Caenorhabditis elegans: one gene and its partners. The protein of the gene in region 2 interacts with the protein of the main gene of each other region in a pairwise test. Each region holds a gene or a part of one and is shown on either strand. Other genes may lie near its edges. The genes, in order: sma-3, ufd-2 and F49C12.9.

What was found.
Region 1: the proteins of ufd-2 (region 2) and sma-3 interact in a two-hybrid assay, tested with the Caenorhabditis elegans proteins (one large-scale study listed by BioGRID).
Region 3: the proteins of ufd-2 (region 2) and F49C12.9 interact in a two-hybrid assay, tested with the Caenorhabditis elegans proteins (one large-scale study listed by BioGRID).

The regions. Positions count from the first base shown.
Region 1 is NC_003281.10:6,860,226-6,865,684, reverse strand, and holds sma-3 (Dwarfin sma-3), read left to right. Parts: upstream 1-1,716; 5' UTR 1,717-1,721; coding exon 1,722-1,860; intron 1,861-2,318; coding exon 2,319-2,410; intron 2,411-2,536; coding exon 2,537-2,611; intron 2,612-2,660; coding exon 2,661-2,749; intron 2,750-2,807; coding exon 2,808-2,872; intron 2,873-2,989; coding exon 2,990-3,075; intron 3,076-3,122; coding exon 3,123-3,218; intron 3,219-3,262; coding exon 3,263-3,321; intron 3,322-3,643; coding exon 3,644-3,896; intron 3,897-3,958; coding exon 3,959-4,039; intron 4,040-4,131; coding exon 4,132-4,212; intron 4,213-4,528; coding exon 4,529-4,594; 3' UTR 4,595-4,711; downstream 4,712-5,459. Other genes in the region: cra-1 (N-terminal acetyltransferase B complex subunit NAA25 homolog), read left to right, coding at 64-171. UniProt on the Caenorhabditis elegans protein: Involved in TGF-beta pathway. Plays a role in male tail tip morphogenesis.
Region 2 is NC_003280.10:8,061,009-8,066,873, reverse strand, and holds ufd-2 (Ubiquitin conjugation factor E4 ufd-2), read right to left. Parts: upstream 4,134-5,865; 5' UTR 4,123-4,133; coding exon 4,066-4,122; intron 4,024-4,065; coding exon 3,697-4,023; intron 3,652-3,696; coding exon 2,730-3,651; intron 2,680-2,729; coding exon 1,770-2,679; intron 1,722-1,769; coding exon 1,367-1,721; intron 1,315-1,366; coding exon 931-1,314; 3' UTR 681-930; downstream 1-680. Other genes in the region: pdha-1 (Pyruvate dehydrogenase E1 component subunit alpha), read right to left, coding at 1-429, 561-574; T05H10.8 (peroxiredoxin-like family protein), read right to left, coding at 5,410-5,550, 5,595-5,798. UniProt on the Caenorhabditis elegans protein: Acts as an E4 ubiquitin ligase mediating the assembly of polyubiquitin chains on substrates ubiquitinated by another E3 ubiquitin ligase. The elongation of preexisting ubiquitin chains preferentially targets ubiquitin 'Lys-29' and 'Lys-48' residues.
Region 3 is NC_003282.8:9,314,308-9,318,149, forward strand, and holds F49C12.9 (UBA domain-containing protein), read right to left. Parts: upstream 1,909-3,842; 5' UTR 1,801-1,908; coding exon 1,662-1,800; intron 1,596-1,661; coding exon 1,495-1,595; intron 1,448-1,494; coding exon 1,010-1,447; intron 903-1,009; coding exon 663-902; 3' UTR 510-662; downstream 1-509. Other genes in the region: rpn-7 (26S proteasome non-ATPase regulatory subunit 6), read left to right, coding at 2,336-2,398, 2,444-3,286, 3,337-3,663.

The DNA of each region.
Region 1 (5,459 bases), on a different chromosome or scaffold from region 2:
TATATGATATATTTATACATATATGTAGAGTTTAAACCTAATTTCAACACCTAAATATTTCAGGCTAAAGCTGCATTAGAAGGTATGCATAATCCAGTTGCTTCTCGCCTTCAAAGATCTTTTCTCAATACATGTGAAGATATGCACACAACTATCAAATTAAGATTCTAATTTTTTTGTTTCAGAATATTTAGACGTTGTTTTTTGTTCATCTAGGCTCCTTATTTTTTAGGCTCCTTATTTATTAATTTGTTCTTTTTTTTTTCAAATTTGTAGTAGCTCCCCGAATTGTTTGTCCCCATCTCTAAACATAATCATTTGAGTTCATCATCGTTGGATCTCTACAGATCAATCTTTCGCCTTTTCTTTCTTCCCCCGATGACGTTTTTCTTCCTCCAAAATACCGATTTCAACTGTTTTTATTTCGCCCTCTCACTATGTTCATGTTTTTGAAAGAATAAATTGCTCTCTGACTTTTTTTTTTTTTCTTGCTAACTGTGTCCCCAACCATCCTTTGTCCCCTGTTCCCTCTTCATTCTATTTCAACGAGCGGTCACCGATGTGACCAATAAGCGCAAAGGCACTAAGAAATTGGGAAAATTGAGAGAGGGTTGCGCCATGAAGAGACGCAAAGATTAACACAAGGGCACATTTACCTTTATTCTACCTACATCTATCCCCCAACACAACGGACACTATTTTATATCGGTTGCAGGGCGTGGGGAAAGGTCACCACCAACACTGCCCCAGTCTGATGTGATTCCATCCGGGTTTCGCAAATACTTTTTCAATTTCACGTTATTCAACATTTTTATGATAGAAATTCATTTTGAGCAAATGACATAAACAACATGAGATCATAGTGACAATGTTTTCAAATCCATATATTTTTTCGAGATGATTAAAGGTGGAGTAGTGCCAGTGGGGAAAGTGTTAAAAACTATTCCTATGGTGCCAAAAAGACCGAATATCATAATTAAACCTTTCAAAATTTTTTTTGAAATTTTTTATTTTATGTCAAAGAGTGGCAACTATTATATGTGTATTTAAACAAAATTCCCACTGGCGCTACAGTACTCTGCCTTTAAATGGAGTATTGCCAGTGGGAATTTCTACTCGAAAAGTCCATGAACGAATATCATAATAAAAACTTCGATTAAAAAAAAAAGTTTTGAATAGTTTTAGTAAAGTGACAAATTTTCGTGAAATCTGGAATTTTTTGGACAATTCACTACAATGTTGAAATAGAAATATTCGAAAAATAATTAAAATGTAATATATATGGAAATCTTCTCTGATCAGAAAAGAAAATAACATTTTGGCATTCTTCCAAAATGTGAGAACTTGCCACGTTTTGTCTGGAACATCCCTCATCCCAACTCAAATTGTTCAATTAAAAAGAACGGTGTCATGTCATGAAAAAAGAATTTAAAAGTGCAAACAAAAGAACGATTCATTTTTGTTTTCTTTGTGTTCATCTTCATTTTCTCAGTCTCTCTTTACCTCCTCCGCCTTCCCTGTTATCACTTATCATCTCATCATTTCCTTTACTCAAACATTCACTTTTAGCCTTGTTTCTCTCTTTCTCTCATTCATTTTCCGCTCAGTTTACCCACTTTTTTTGTTTCTGTTACCTGTTACTATTTCTTATCGCGCAAAACAAAAATCGATAATAATTATTGAATTAGTTTTTTTGAAATGAGAGCAAAATTTCAGTCAAAATGAACGGATTACTGCATATGCATGGTCCAGCTGTCAAAAAGCTTTTAGGTTGGAAAATTGGAGAAGACGAAGAAAAATGGTGTGAGAAGGCTGTTGAGGCATTGGTGAAAAAATTAAAAAAGAAAAATAATGGATGTGGTTAGTCAAATATATTTTTTAAAGGAATTTATAATAATTTAGGGAGGGACATTTCTGAAAAAGGGTCTCGACGCGCTTATGAAAGTTTCAAAACTATTTTTGTGATTACCTTTAAATTTACAGTAGAAATATTTGAGCCTCCTTCCTCTTAGTCTAATTTTTCTTACGATTTCTTATGATTTTCATTTTTTTTAACTTGCAAAAAACTATAAAAACAGTAAGAAGAAAGCACCAAAAAACAAACTTAACATTTTCGAATGTATTCGAAAATACTATTGGCGCGGCGAGACCCATCCGAATGTTAAGCATATTGTTACGGATACAATATAATATTATGATTAACATTTTCCGATGACCCTTTTCGATTCATGAATCAAAGTGCACCTTATTTATAAGTTAGATCATAAATATTAAAAAAAAAGAAATTCAACCGATCCATTTCAAATTCTAAATTCCAGGAACCCTCGAAGATCTGGAATGTGTTCTAGCAAACCCATGTACAAACTCAAGATGCATTACGATAGCAAAAAGTTTAGACGGTCGGTTACAGGTATGTGGCGCCGTTGTGGTTGCTTAACGTAAATTTGTTCGCTAATCAGACAACTGTGATAACTTTCAAAAATAACACTTTGGTTTGAAATAACGACTTTTTGACGCCAAACTTCCGGCTTTTCAGGTATCCCATAAGAAAGGTCTTCCACATGTGATTTACTGTCGAGTATGGCGGTGGCCGGATATAAGTTCTCCTCATGTAAGTTAATTGGATATATTAATTTGAAATTTTTGAATGTTCATTTCAGGAATTACGTTCAATTGATACATGCTCCTACCCATATGAATCTAGTTCCAAAACCATGTACATCTGCATTAATCCATATCACTATCAGAGGTTTGTTCTGAAAGTTGTTTAAAATTGGAATACATTTCAAAAATGAATAAAATTCCAGATTATCACGACCACAAGGCTTAAATTCTTCAATGCCATCACCACAACCAATATCATCTCCAAACAGTAAGCGTTGGATCTAAAAATTGTTTAAACATATCAGAATCTTCTATTAAAAAAAAACAACTAAACTCTCTTTAAAATTCTCTAGGGAAATTAAATGAAAAATACATAAAATTGCAGCTATCTGGCAGTCTAGTGGAAGCTCAACGGCATCTTGTGCAAGCTCGCCGAGCCCGTCGGTTTTTTCAGAAGATGGAGGAGAAGTGGTTAGTTTTTTTGCAATACACATTTTTGCAAAAATTATAATTTTCAGCAAGTTCACCAGCGACCTCCACCGTTCCGTCATCCCAAATCCTGGGCCCAAATTACGTATTTTGAGTTGAATTCGAGAGTTGGAGAAGTTTTTAAAGTGAGGTTTTGATTTTTCAAAACAAAACAAAATTGGAGTTTCAGCTAGTGAATCTGAGCATTACAGTCGACGGATATACTAATCCATCAAATTCAAATACAAGGTAAGATTTTGAAAGACATTCGAAAGTAGAAATAAATTGATTTTAAAAGTGAAAAAACCAAAAAATAATTAGTTTTTTTCGATTTCGGTCGGACTTCTAAAAAATGTTCTTACAAAATATAAATATTATTAGTTTGATTTAAATTTCCTCCATTAATACGGTATAATACATATCTTCTCTATAATATTATCATAGTTATTAAAAAGTGGACACTTCGAGTTAATTAACGTGAAAATTGCTGATTCGAAGCTTTAACTTCGAGAAGTTCTGAATAATAATAATTCTTACCGGTTTCTTTATTAAAATAATCCGGAAATTTCAGAATATGTCTTGGACAATTAACCAATGTGAATCGAAATGGAACAATTGAGAACACACGGATGCATATTGGAAAAGGAATTCAGCTTGATAATAAAGAAGATCAAATGCATATTATGATTACAAATAACTCTGATATGCCAGTTTTTGTGCAATCCAAAAATACGAATCTCATGATGAACATGCCACTGGTCAAAGTCTGCCGAATACCACCGCACAGTCAATTATGCGTTTTTGAGTTTAATTTATTTTTTCAAGTGAGGTTTTTAAAATTTAAAATTATTTTCATGCTATTCTTCAACAATTGTCAAAAATTAAGATGTTGGAACAGTCGTGCAACGATAGCGATGGATTGAATGAACTCTCCAAACACTGTTTTATTCGTATTTCTTTTGTAAAGGTTTGTTCTAAATGTTTGAATTCCTTGTAGATTTATACTTGTTAAATTTATCGTGAGATTTTCAAATGAAACTTCGATAAACAAATTTTCAGGGCTGGGGAGAAGATTATCCACGTCAAGACGTCACATCCACGCCTTGCTGGCTTGAACTTCGGCTCAATGTGCCACTGGCTGTAAGTTTTTTTGAGAAGGAATCGTATCTGGAAATTTATCAAATTATCAAAAATATTCTATAAAATTTTTGTACATTTTGTAAATATCATCCAAAATTAAGCCATATTTCTATTTTGGGTACTTTTCCGATTTCTGCCCCCCCAATTTTTTAAGTTCAATATTTCAATTTCAATTCTCACGTGAATGTTTATTTCAATACTAAATAACAAAAAAGTTAACGTTTCATTAATGAATATATCGAAAACATTTTGGGGGCAGAAATCGGAAAAGTACCCTATTTTGTTTGAGTTTTCTGTGAAAATGAAATATTTTCAGTATATCGATCAAAAAATGAAGCAAACTCCAAGGACGAACTTGATGGAACCAAATTCAATGACATAATGATTTGTTAAAAACGCTTTCCTTCTCGCAACCACCTGAATTCAGAATTTACCTACTCTAATGATGATACTTGTAACATGTTTTACATTTGCTGGTTCTTTTTAATTATGAAGATTTCTTTTAATGTTGTCATGTTCTTCGAACATTTACTTAACGAAATTCTCAGAATGATTTCGCAGTTTTTTTCGGTCACGACAAAAACGCCCCCTAATTCTTGGGATTTTTAATTGTTTACTCTGAAAATATGCTCGAAAATTTTGAGCAAATGATTATTTATAACAAATCCAATACGTAAAATTAACTATTAGATCCATTCTGGGAAACGTCCACAGACAGCTCCATAGTTCCAGAGATCGGATGCACCTTCATTTTCTGGATGCTTTACATAGTTGCAGAAGACGTCATTGATCAGCTCACTGCGAGCAGGGAATTGAGAAATTGAGAGTTGAAGGCAAGATTCAATGCTTCTGGAAATCATATTTAAAAAAAAACAACTTGCAACTGTAACTAACTTTTCAAAGATGGTCTGTCCTGGTTCAGTTGCAGACCAGCTTTTCCACATGAAAGTATTATCAGTATGCTTCTCATCAGTAGTGAAACCAGATGATGAATTCCTGCATTCTACAGTAGCCAAAACGGTTTTATCTGTAGTCTCGCAGTTCTTCAAACGATGTCCATCGACAATCATTGATCCACGATCCAATTTCTTTGCAGTAAGGAAATCACGAAGAACAGTGGAAAGTTTGGTACGCTCATCAAAATTTTCAAATGATGTCAGGATTGATCCATCTTTCTCACAAACTTTTTTGGCTTGATTTGGAGAGATGAGAGTATCAGACAAAATTGCCTGAAAAACATTATAGAA
Region 2 (5,865 bases):
TCAGCAAGAACCTCGGTTACGGTAGCTCCAAGAAGCCAGGTCCATCCGTGACAACGGTAAGCAGTGATGACGGCATCTCCTTCTGTCATTGCAGCCTTCATTCCGACGGCACAAGCTTCTTGACCAGAGTAGAGATGACAGAAACCGCGGATTTTCTTCTCCTTGTACAAGTTTCCAGCAGCAGACTCCATGCGACGAATGACCTGCATGTCACGGTAGTACTTGAGAGCATCTTCTCTGTTCAAGGTGACAGAGGTGTTTGGTCCATTGTCAAGTTTATGAAGTTTGCATGGCTTTGTGTGGAATGATACTTCCGTGCTCGCAAGACGAACTTGCTGTGTGCGGATTCCACTGGCAGTCAAGGATTGAAGTTGTCTCGCGAATAAAGACATTGCCGTCGACCAAATACGTTCCAGATGTACCAAGCTACTGAAAGCAGTAAATATATTTCAAAAATAAAAATTAATCGGATTTGGGATGACTGGGAACGTATAAATATTATAAGTTATTGACATGTAACAAATCACAAAACAATACGACACCGTTCGTTATAAACCTACAGAAATTTAGTCATTCCAGGTTCAAGGCTAAAATCAGAATATGTGAAGAAATTCACAAAGAATAAAAATATAAGTATGCGGATCGGAGACCGCAATAGAAGCCAAAATTTAGAAAATAAGTAAATTAGTATAAATTTATTCACATTCAAGGCACTACTCGTGTTTTTTAGGTTTGATGAAAGAGGGCAAGAATACCAACTTTAAGGAATCCATGCAGAAAATGAAACCGAAACCGAAAGATTAGACCATTGAGAGACCAGAAAAACTTATAAAATGAAAGGAACGCGTGAAATTTACAGACATTTTGCACATGTGCAATGGTCAAGTACAATAAATACAAAATTGGGTAACAATAGAATATGATAGAAAATTATTTCTTTGAATTTCTTTTCTGGCAAATCCATTCCTGAATCTTTGCCTTCAACTCAGAATCGGGAGAAAGCTCATTGTGCGACAAGGGAGCACGATTAAACGGATTATTGGGTGTACTGAGAAGATGCCTCTCGATGACTGCACGATCCATCACGTGTCCTGATGGCAATTTGACAGGATCAACCATAATTGCATCCATAATAGGATCCTTGAACTCTTCTGGTACATCATCATACTCTTCTTCAAGCTCAGCTTTTGCCTCATACTCTTTTTTAACATCTTCGGCCAAATGTTCGAAACTTTCGAGTTGACTGAATCCAACAATACTATTCTTTCTCATGCATTCAATCGCATTATGGAAGAATTCAGGACTGTAGGTACGCTGAAAAATAATTAAAATAAATCTCTTTGAATAAACAAATGTGTTAACCAACCTCGTCGTATGCTATGTATTTAACAAATGCAGGCATATTCAGCTTTAAATAGATTGAGATCAGCAACGATACAAACTCCCGTGGTTCCCATCCATAACTTCTTGGATCCTTGACTTTCAACTCGGAGGCCTTGCTACCAATGAGTTGCGATAAATTGTGATTCAACATTGCAGCAAGTCTTTCGCCGAGAACCGGAGTACGGAAAGGTTCGGGTGAGTTTACGGTAATCGATAGTAGCAATTTAAGATTACTTTTGGCTGTTCCAAGCCATCCCTTCACTTTACGTTTTGCCTCCTCGTACACGCCGAGATCCTGATTACGGATTTCTTGATCTGTGTTGTCCCATTCGACTTTGCTGAAAATAAAATTTATATTTTTAAGTTATCATTCGAAATAGTCTTACTTCGCCATCTTTTTCTCAACATCATGGATACTCTTCAAACCAGACAAGCTCTCATCTATACACCATGTTGCATCGTTAATCACCATATTGACAAACCGAATGAACTCTGCTCCGCATTCTCTTGCCATGTCCATAAACTTTCCTTTGTAGAACATATCTTCCTCCATTTTTTCCAACATGTACTGGATATTTCCACGAACGTTAAACTTTTCATAAAAGTCACCATTGTCTTCGAAATCCGAGTAGAACTTTATCATGCACATCAATAAATTTTCTTGTGCCATTCGAAGTCTGACCACGTTGAACCATAATGGAGGTTGAATAGAAGACAGCACTCTCACCAGTTTGGAAACGAGAAATGGGCTTTTGATGTAGTGATATTGTGTGAAAAGGACCGTCAGACGGGAAATCCAATCCGCATTTCTCTCCATGAGCAGTTTCATTCCATTGGAAATAGCGAATATGTAAAAATCGAGAGCATCCTCTAGAAAATATTCTGGGAGCGCACAAAACATTTGTGATACTTCAGTTGGAAGTTGACTGTCGTCTCCGAGCAAATCCAAGTTATCACAAAGCAAATTCAAAATGAATTTCATCTGCTTATCGACAAAATCCATAGAAGATGCCATTAATGCAGGATCTTGAGCTTGTGTCTTAACACATAAAAGATGACGAGACATGAGCTTCCAGTGTTCAGTCTCATAGTTCAACTTCTTTTCCACCTCAGCTCTCTCGAATCCTGACACAGTATTTAGTTTTTCTTTGAGCGCATTGATCTTATGCTTGAGCTCCTTAAGGTGTCGAGAGTATTCACTTATTTGATTCATCAATGGAGGAATAACGAGCCTCTGTGCTGCAATTGTCAGGAAGAAGCAGACTGTAGAGAAATGATATTCATCTGGACGATCTGCTGGAAAAAGAAAACAAGTTAATTTTTTGAGAAAGAAAAATGAAACTTACCGAATTGGCTAGCAAAAGCGACTGCTCCTGATTCGTCCATTTTGAGACGAGTCTCCTTGGAAATATTTATAAGCGAACTCGGTAAAAACGGATAATCTACGATAATTTTGGACAAGTCGATTTTCTCGGAAAACATGTACATCACGGACAAAAAATTTGTCATATAATGATCACACAAGACATCTGAAGGATCATAATGTGAACGAGTGCGAATGTCATTGGTGCTTATGATGGTGGCAATCCATCTTAGAGTTTTGTTGCGACTTCCTTGATCCGAAGCAAGCGGAAGCATCAATTGATGAAGCATAGTTCGAATTGGATCCATTCTTTGGAAATACAGTTTCTGCTCAGTGTTGACTGATCCATCATATTTTCTTGCATCTTCTTCACAATCCACAAAAACTCGATGATTTGGACGCCTTGCTGATGATTCGAGGCCGTACGAAAAGAACGGTCCTAGGAAGGACATTAAACCAAACTCGCGTCCTTGTATTTTTTCGGACGGCGTTGGGAGAAAATCTTCTCGATTAACAAGTAGGTTACTCAGTGGGCGAGGTCCGTTTGAAGGGAGTCTGATACTGAGAAGCAAGTTCATCACACGAAGGATCTGACGAACAATTTCGTCCTTATTGTCTTCAAAGCGTTGACAAATAATTCCGCTCCGCAAAATCCCGAAAATTGGATTAAATGTTTCTGTAATAGCGTCTTCATCGCATTCATCTGTACTTGCAAGGTATTCAACCAATGTTCTTAGAAAAACATTTGACACCGTATCCTCCAGAAGTCTTTTTGTGAACACCAAACTAGCATGTTGGCTGCGAAGTTGGCTCTCCAAGTAGCCTCTCTGTATCATCACAAAAACTGAGAAAACTGCTTTCCTGGTAGATTCGAGAGTTTTCTTGTAGCAATTTGAAGTACCGCTCTGAAAATTGTTAAATTAAAAATAGAACTATATTAGATAGAGTACCTTTCCAAGCTCATGATGGCAACGAACAAAATTGATTAAGAGAAACTCGATGGCGTCTTCTTCACGACATCCAGCAATGATATCAGGGTCGATGAAATTGAACGATCTTGACAGCCCCCTTCTTGATCCATCTTGAGATAAAAGTACAAACTTTGTGATTATTTCGGCAATGTTCGATTGCAGACACTGAGGAGAAACATCAAAATTCAGATTTTGAACATCGATTATCGCATCGGCGTAACGAAGCATTCTGTCATCTGATTTACCTTCACAGTCAAAGAGACTTGTGAGGAAGTCTTTGCTTTCAACATCTGCCTGAAAAAAGAACTAATCGCCTATGAGTATATAAAATGTCAGGCAAAAACGCACCACAGAAGCATCACTTATGTCCATCGGCTGCAAGCCTGCTTTCTCGTCTTCAATCATCTACGATTTCTGGAAATTCGTGATGATCACGTGATTTTGATAAGTAGAGTAACGATAAAGAGAATGGTGAGAGGTCTGATAACAAATATTTTACGGTAATGGGAACATTTATGAGACGGAAAAATTAAACGCAGAGGATTGTATGAAAACAATATTGGACTAGAATTGTGTATAGAGGAAAACATAAAATTATTTTCGAGAGCAAAAACTGTAGGAAGACATTTGCACCGCGCGCGCAAGAGATAGAAAAATCGAAGGAGCAATGCAGCTGCAAAGACGCTGACATTTCGGCCTCTCAATGAACATGCAGTGGAGCGCGTTTGCTGCACTACCGAGACACCACATTTTTGCAGGAGAGAAACATCGGTAGAAAACTGAATTCGGAAGAACGAGTGTTAAATATTGTATCTTTATGATTCTATTTTCAGACACCACTTAATTTGAATATTTTTAGAGCAATAAGAATTTGAAGGGGCAGATAAATTAAGCAACAAAAAAGTATATAAATGAACGAGACTGTGGATGGAACGCACATTTTTGATTTTACAAAATTTTATTCTTTAATAAATATTGTTTTTTTTAAACGAGAATAAACCTCACTTTCAATAAAAATCGTTTAGTTAACTATAGTTTCAAGAGGAAAACAGTAGCGCAACTCAACAATCGATTGTGTACAATTGAGACCCGAGGGACGTCATTGTGAGACTCACCCAATTCTAGACATTTATAGGCGGGTACCTGGTCCACCAGCAGATGTCCTTCAATACGATAAAAAATCAATCAATACACACGTTTGTTGCTACTCTGATGCAATCGTAAATATTCCGGGATATGGCCAGGGTACTGTAGGATTACCGTGGATTATTGTACTTTTAGAAAACTATTGAAACGATCAAAAAAATTCATATGGCCATATATGGTTTGCCTTGAAACTTCTATGTAATAGTGTTGTGTTTTATTCTTCAGATGATAGATTTTTAAATTGATTGAAAATTGAAAATAAATTGAACTTTTTTATTCCAAGAATACAGTAAAAGTTTAATAAACGAGTCTGAAAATCTTCAACCAAAAGAAATCAAAGCATCCGAACATCTTTTTTCACTGTAAAATAACAACCACATTAAATTCGAGTGTTTTTTTTTTGGAAGTTCCACATTGGAACAAATTGAAAATAAATTAATGTTTATGTTATTTCATAGTTAAATAATCTAATATTAAAATAATGAATTAATAATGAGATCAGCCAAGATAACATGTATGGTTTTAATGTAAATGTAGTCTAGATATTTAACTAATTACGCAACACGGTTTCTTTTTGTCCGTCGCCAGTTCCTTTGTTACAGAAATTTCCGAATTCACTTTTGCCAGATTTCCACCTTTCGGAATTGATATTGTAGAATTATTAGTGCTCTCCAAGTATTTGGCGTTCTGGAGAAGTTTGTTAAGAGAGTTTTAAAAATAAAAAAGCATACCCTTGCTTCAACCAGTTTTACTATTTCATCAATATCTGGCCATGAATCTGATTTATCGTCTTCAATGTGCTTGTAAAGAATTTCTCCTGATTTATCCACAAGTACAGTACCACCTTTTTGAGAAATGTAAGAAACTGAGTCTTCTGAGCTTGATGCTTCTTTCGCAACAATTGAATCTCCTTCGACGAGAGAGGCTTCCACAACCTGAAAATTTCCAATTTATACACAATGATTGCTTATCCTTCCCACGTTGCAATTTGATATCAACTTT
Region 3 (3,842 bases), on a different chromosome or scaffold from region 2:
ACGGACCAGGAAATGTTTTTTTATTTTCAAAAAAAACAATAGGTATGGAACAAATTTGTTGATTCTGCGAAAAAATATTAATTGCGCCTACAGTACCACTACAGTAACCCAGCAGTATCACTCCGCCAACTCCAACTCAGTATCCCGTCAGAAGAAAGCAACACAGATTTGCTAGAACTACTCGAGCATAAACTGAAACTGTGGCCTATCTAATTTTATTTAATTGATAAGTACAATTGTTAATTTCTAGAATGTATGATACTATAAAAAATGCATTTTCAACTCGTTGTAATAATCACTATAAGAAGTAGTAAAAAATATGTCCGTAGTAAAAGAGTATTTGCCGATGTACTGGACTATTTTGTATTTTTTTTTGAATCAGAAGCGAAGTGAATATTGCCATTCCCAACCCCAGGGAAATAAGTTGTTATCCGATGTTATAGTGACCCAGAGACACTAAATAAGCAGAGAAGAGTTTGTAGAAGAGTGATTTAGACGAATAAACGGTGATTTCATTTCACTGCTTTATTTTAAACAGATATGAGATTATTTTAGCCCTATTGACGAATGAATAGGGCAATTTGAATGCATTAAAAACGAATTATGAACACTTATAGACAGAAAAAGTTAATGAGAAGACAGAATAAAACCATTGGTGTAGATTAATTTTGGAGATCAATAAGAAACTCCATAGCCGCTTGCACATCTCCATTCGCCTGTTCGAGAGCCAACTGAATGAGCTCATCATTTTCAAATCCAAACTCGCGGAGAGTCGCAGCTTGTTGTTCATATCCTTGCTGCATTGGCTCTTCTTGCTGCTGTTGCGCTGGCTGGACATTGGCGGGAGCTGGAACCCGATTTGCCGGAGGAACTGCAATGTTTGCCAGGGCTGCTTGGAGAGCCTGAAAAAATTGGCATGGAGAATTTAGTAGAAATATGTATTCAACTATTATTATATTTCAATTATTCTTTTCGAATTATGAGAATCAGTGTGTCCAAGAAATCTTACATTTTGAAGCAACGCATGAGTAACCGGTTGAGCACCTCCAATTGGTCGCTGAGCTGCAAGCATTCCTGGTCTATTTCTTTCCACGTTTGCATAATCAAGGTTTTCGTATCCGTAACGAGATCCTACTGTCGATAGAATATTTTCTACTACTTTCAAGAAATCGGGATTCGTGTACATGAATTGTCCCCGAATTGGATCATCTTTGAAATCGTTCTGAACGCAATAGGCACGGAATAATGACCAATCACTCAGAACAGATAAAAATTGATTATCATGAACCAGCTGTGGGTGTTTCTCAAGAAGCGTTGTCATGTGATCTGGAAGTGCAAAGTCGTGGTTGAAACCATGAAGCCGACGATCATTTGGGCGTGTATATGGGGCGGTACACTCCTTGAGAGCAATACTGATTCGATTTTTTTGCTCTTCTTCGATGTGGTTCTGAAAATCTTAAAATTAATTTGGGTTTCAAACGGAAAAAAACTGACATTTGTTTTAAGCGGTGGAAGCAGCACGACTCTGATTGAATCAGCATCAGTAATCTTTTTTAGGCTCTCTTCATTCAATGCTCTTCCGTTATAAATCAAACCTGAAAAGTGATTGATTCGATAATTGAAGAAATAAATATGATCGATAATTGAAGAAATAAACTTACGGAAACGTTCAACGTTTTTTTGGTCTTTGAATTCGGAAGTACTTTCTGATAAATGCTTGAAGAATTGGATCTGTCCAGTAGAAATTATCTCTTCGATCGGGACTTCACGGCAGGTGGTTTTTAAATGCAATTTAACCATGTTTCTCAATACAACGGGATGGCGGTTGAAAACTGAATGCGAAACAAATGCTCCGTTTCCTGCGTTCAAACGCTAATAACGAGAGCGCTCGATAATGAAAGGATGAATAAAACCGTGCGGCGGAATTGCGAAAGCATGCGCCGCGTATTGCAAACCCTTGTCATCATCCCCGCCCACTTTTATTCGTCCCATTTTGAATTTTTCCCCCAGTTTTCTTGAATTTTGATACGGTTTTGTCTGTTTATGCACTATGAAATAGATATTTTAACGTAGTTTTCACTGTGCCGCTCACTGTAATGTAAAATAAGGCACTATTACGAATTTAAAATAGATATCAACGCTTATTTTCAAAAACTAACAAACTAGACACTAAAATTAATACCAAATCTATATTTCGATAATTACAGCAAATTTAATGAAAACTAACTAAAATGCTATTTCACGTTTGAAATACCATTGAACAGTTTTATTTCCGTTTTGGCCGCTTTTTAACGTTTGCTACAATTTCAAGTGTTCATATTTCATTTTAAGGAGGATGACAGAGGCTGCCAAAAAGAGCACGAAGAAACCCGTAGATGATGGAAACTTCGATAAGGAGGTACGGATCAGTAGTTTTGAAATCATTCAAGTTCAGAGTTTTCAGATCATTTCAAGATGGCCTGATCTTGAGTTATCACAAACCAGATTCATGCTCAATCATCCCGAAGTAGACAGCAGCGTGAAAGAAGCCAAGCTCGAGAAGCTTCAGGAAACTATCAAAGAATTCGACATGGCGCCATTCTACGAGCTTGTCTGCGCTGACTTCAAAATTGTCGTAGATGCAACACAATTGGCTGCAATGAAAGCAGCTAATCAGAAAAAGATCGATGAAATCACCGCAGAAGTTGAAGACGCGGAGAAGAACCTTGGCGAATCTGAAGTGCGTCAGGGATTACTCCGCAAGTTCGAGTACTACTGTCAGATCGGTGACAAAGACAACGCTCTGAAAGCGTACACAGCCACCTATGAGAAGACAGTCGGTATGGGATATCGTATTGATGTAGTTTTCGCCATGATTCGTGTTGGACTTTTCTTCCTCGATCATCATCTCATCAACAAGTTTATCACCAAAGCAAAAGAACTTATGGAGCAAGGAGGAGACTGGGAACGCAAAAATCGCCTTCGATCCTACGAAGCGCTTTACCGAATGTCTGTTCGTGATTTTGCTGGAGCCGCTGATTTGTTCCTTGAAGCTGTGCCAACATTCGGATCATACGAGCTCATGACATATGAAAACTTGATTCTCTACACTGTCATCACCACAACCTTTGCTTTGGACAGACCAGACCTTCGTACCAAGGTTATTCGTTGCAATGAAGTTCAAGAACAGCTGACCGGAGGGGGACTCAATGGAACATTGATTCCAGTTCGTGAGTATCTCGAATCATACTATGATTGTCACTACGATCGTTTCTTCATTCAGTTGGCCGCTCTTGAAAGCGAGAGAGTAAGTTACTAAAACAAATCTTGTATTTTTCACTTATCGTTATATTTCAGTTCAAGTTTGATCGCTATCTATCGCCACACTTCAACTATTACTCTCGTGGAATGCGCCATCGCGCTTACGAACAATTTTTGACTCCTTACAAGACTGTACGTATCGATATGATGGCCAAGGATTTTGGTGTTTCCCGTGCTTTCATCGACCGCGAATTGCACCGTCTGATTGCGACTGGGCAATTGCAATGTCGTATTGATGCTGTTAACGGAGTGATTGAAGTGAATCATCGTGACTCGAAGAATCATCTGTACAAGGCAGTTATCAAGGATGGAGATATATTGCTCAACCGCATTCAGAAGCTTGCCAGAGTTATCAATGCATAACCGAGCCCAGTTCTTCAAACGTGTAAATCCTTTTATTTTACCCTATTCTTCTTCTCCCGTATTATTTCTTTGCGTTAACTCGCTTTGAATCTCCCCACTTCTTCATCATTTCCGGTTGAATGAATTAATTTATTACCATCGCTGTATTTTTAAAACTGTATTCACACTTTCTTGGTCAA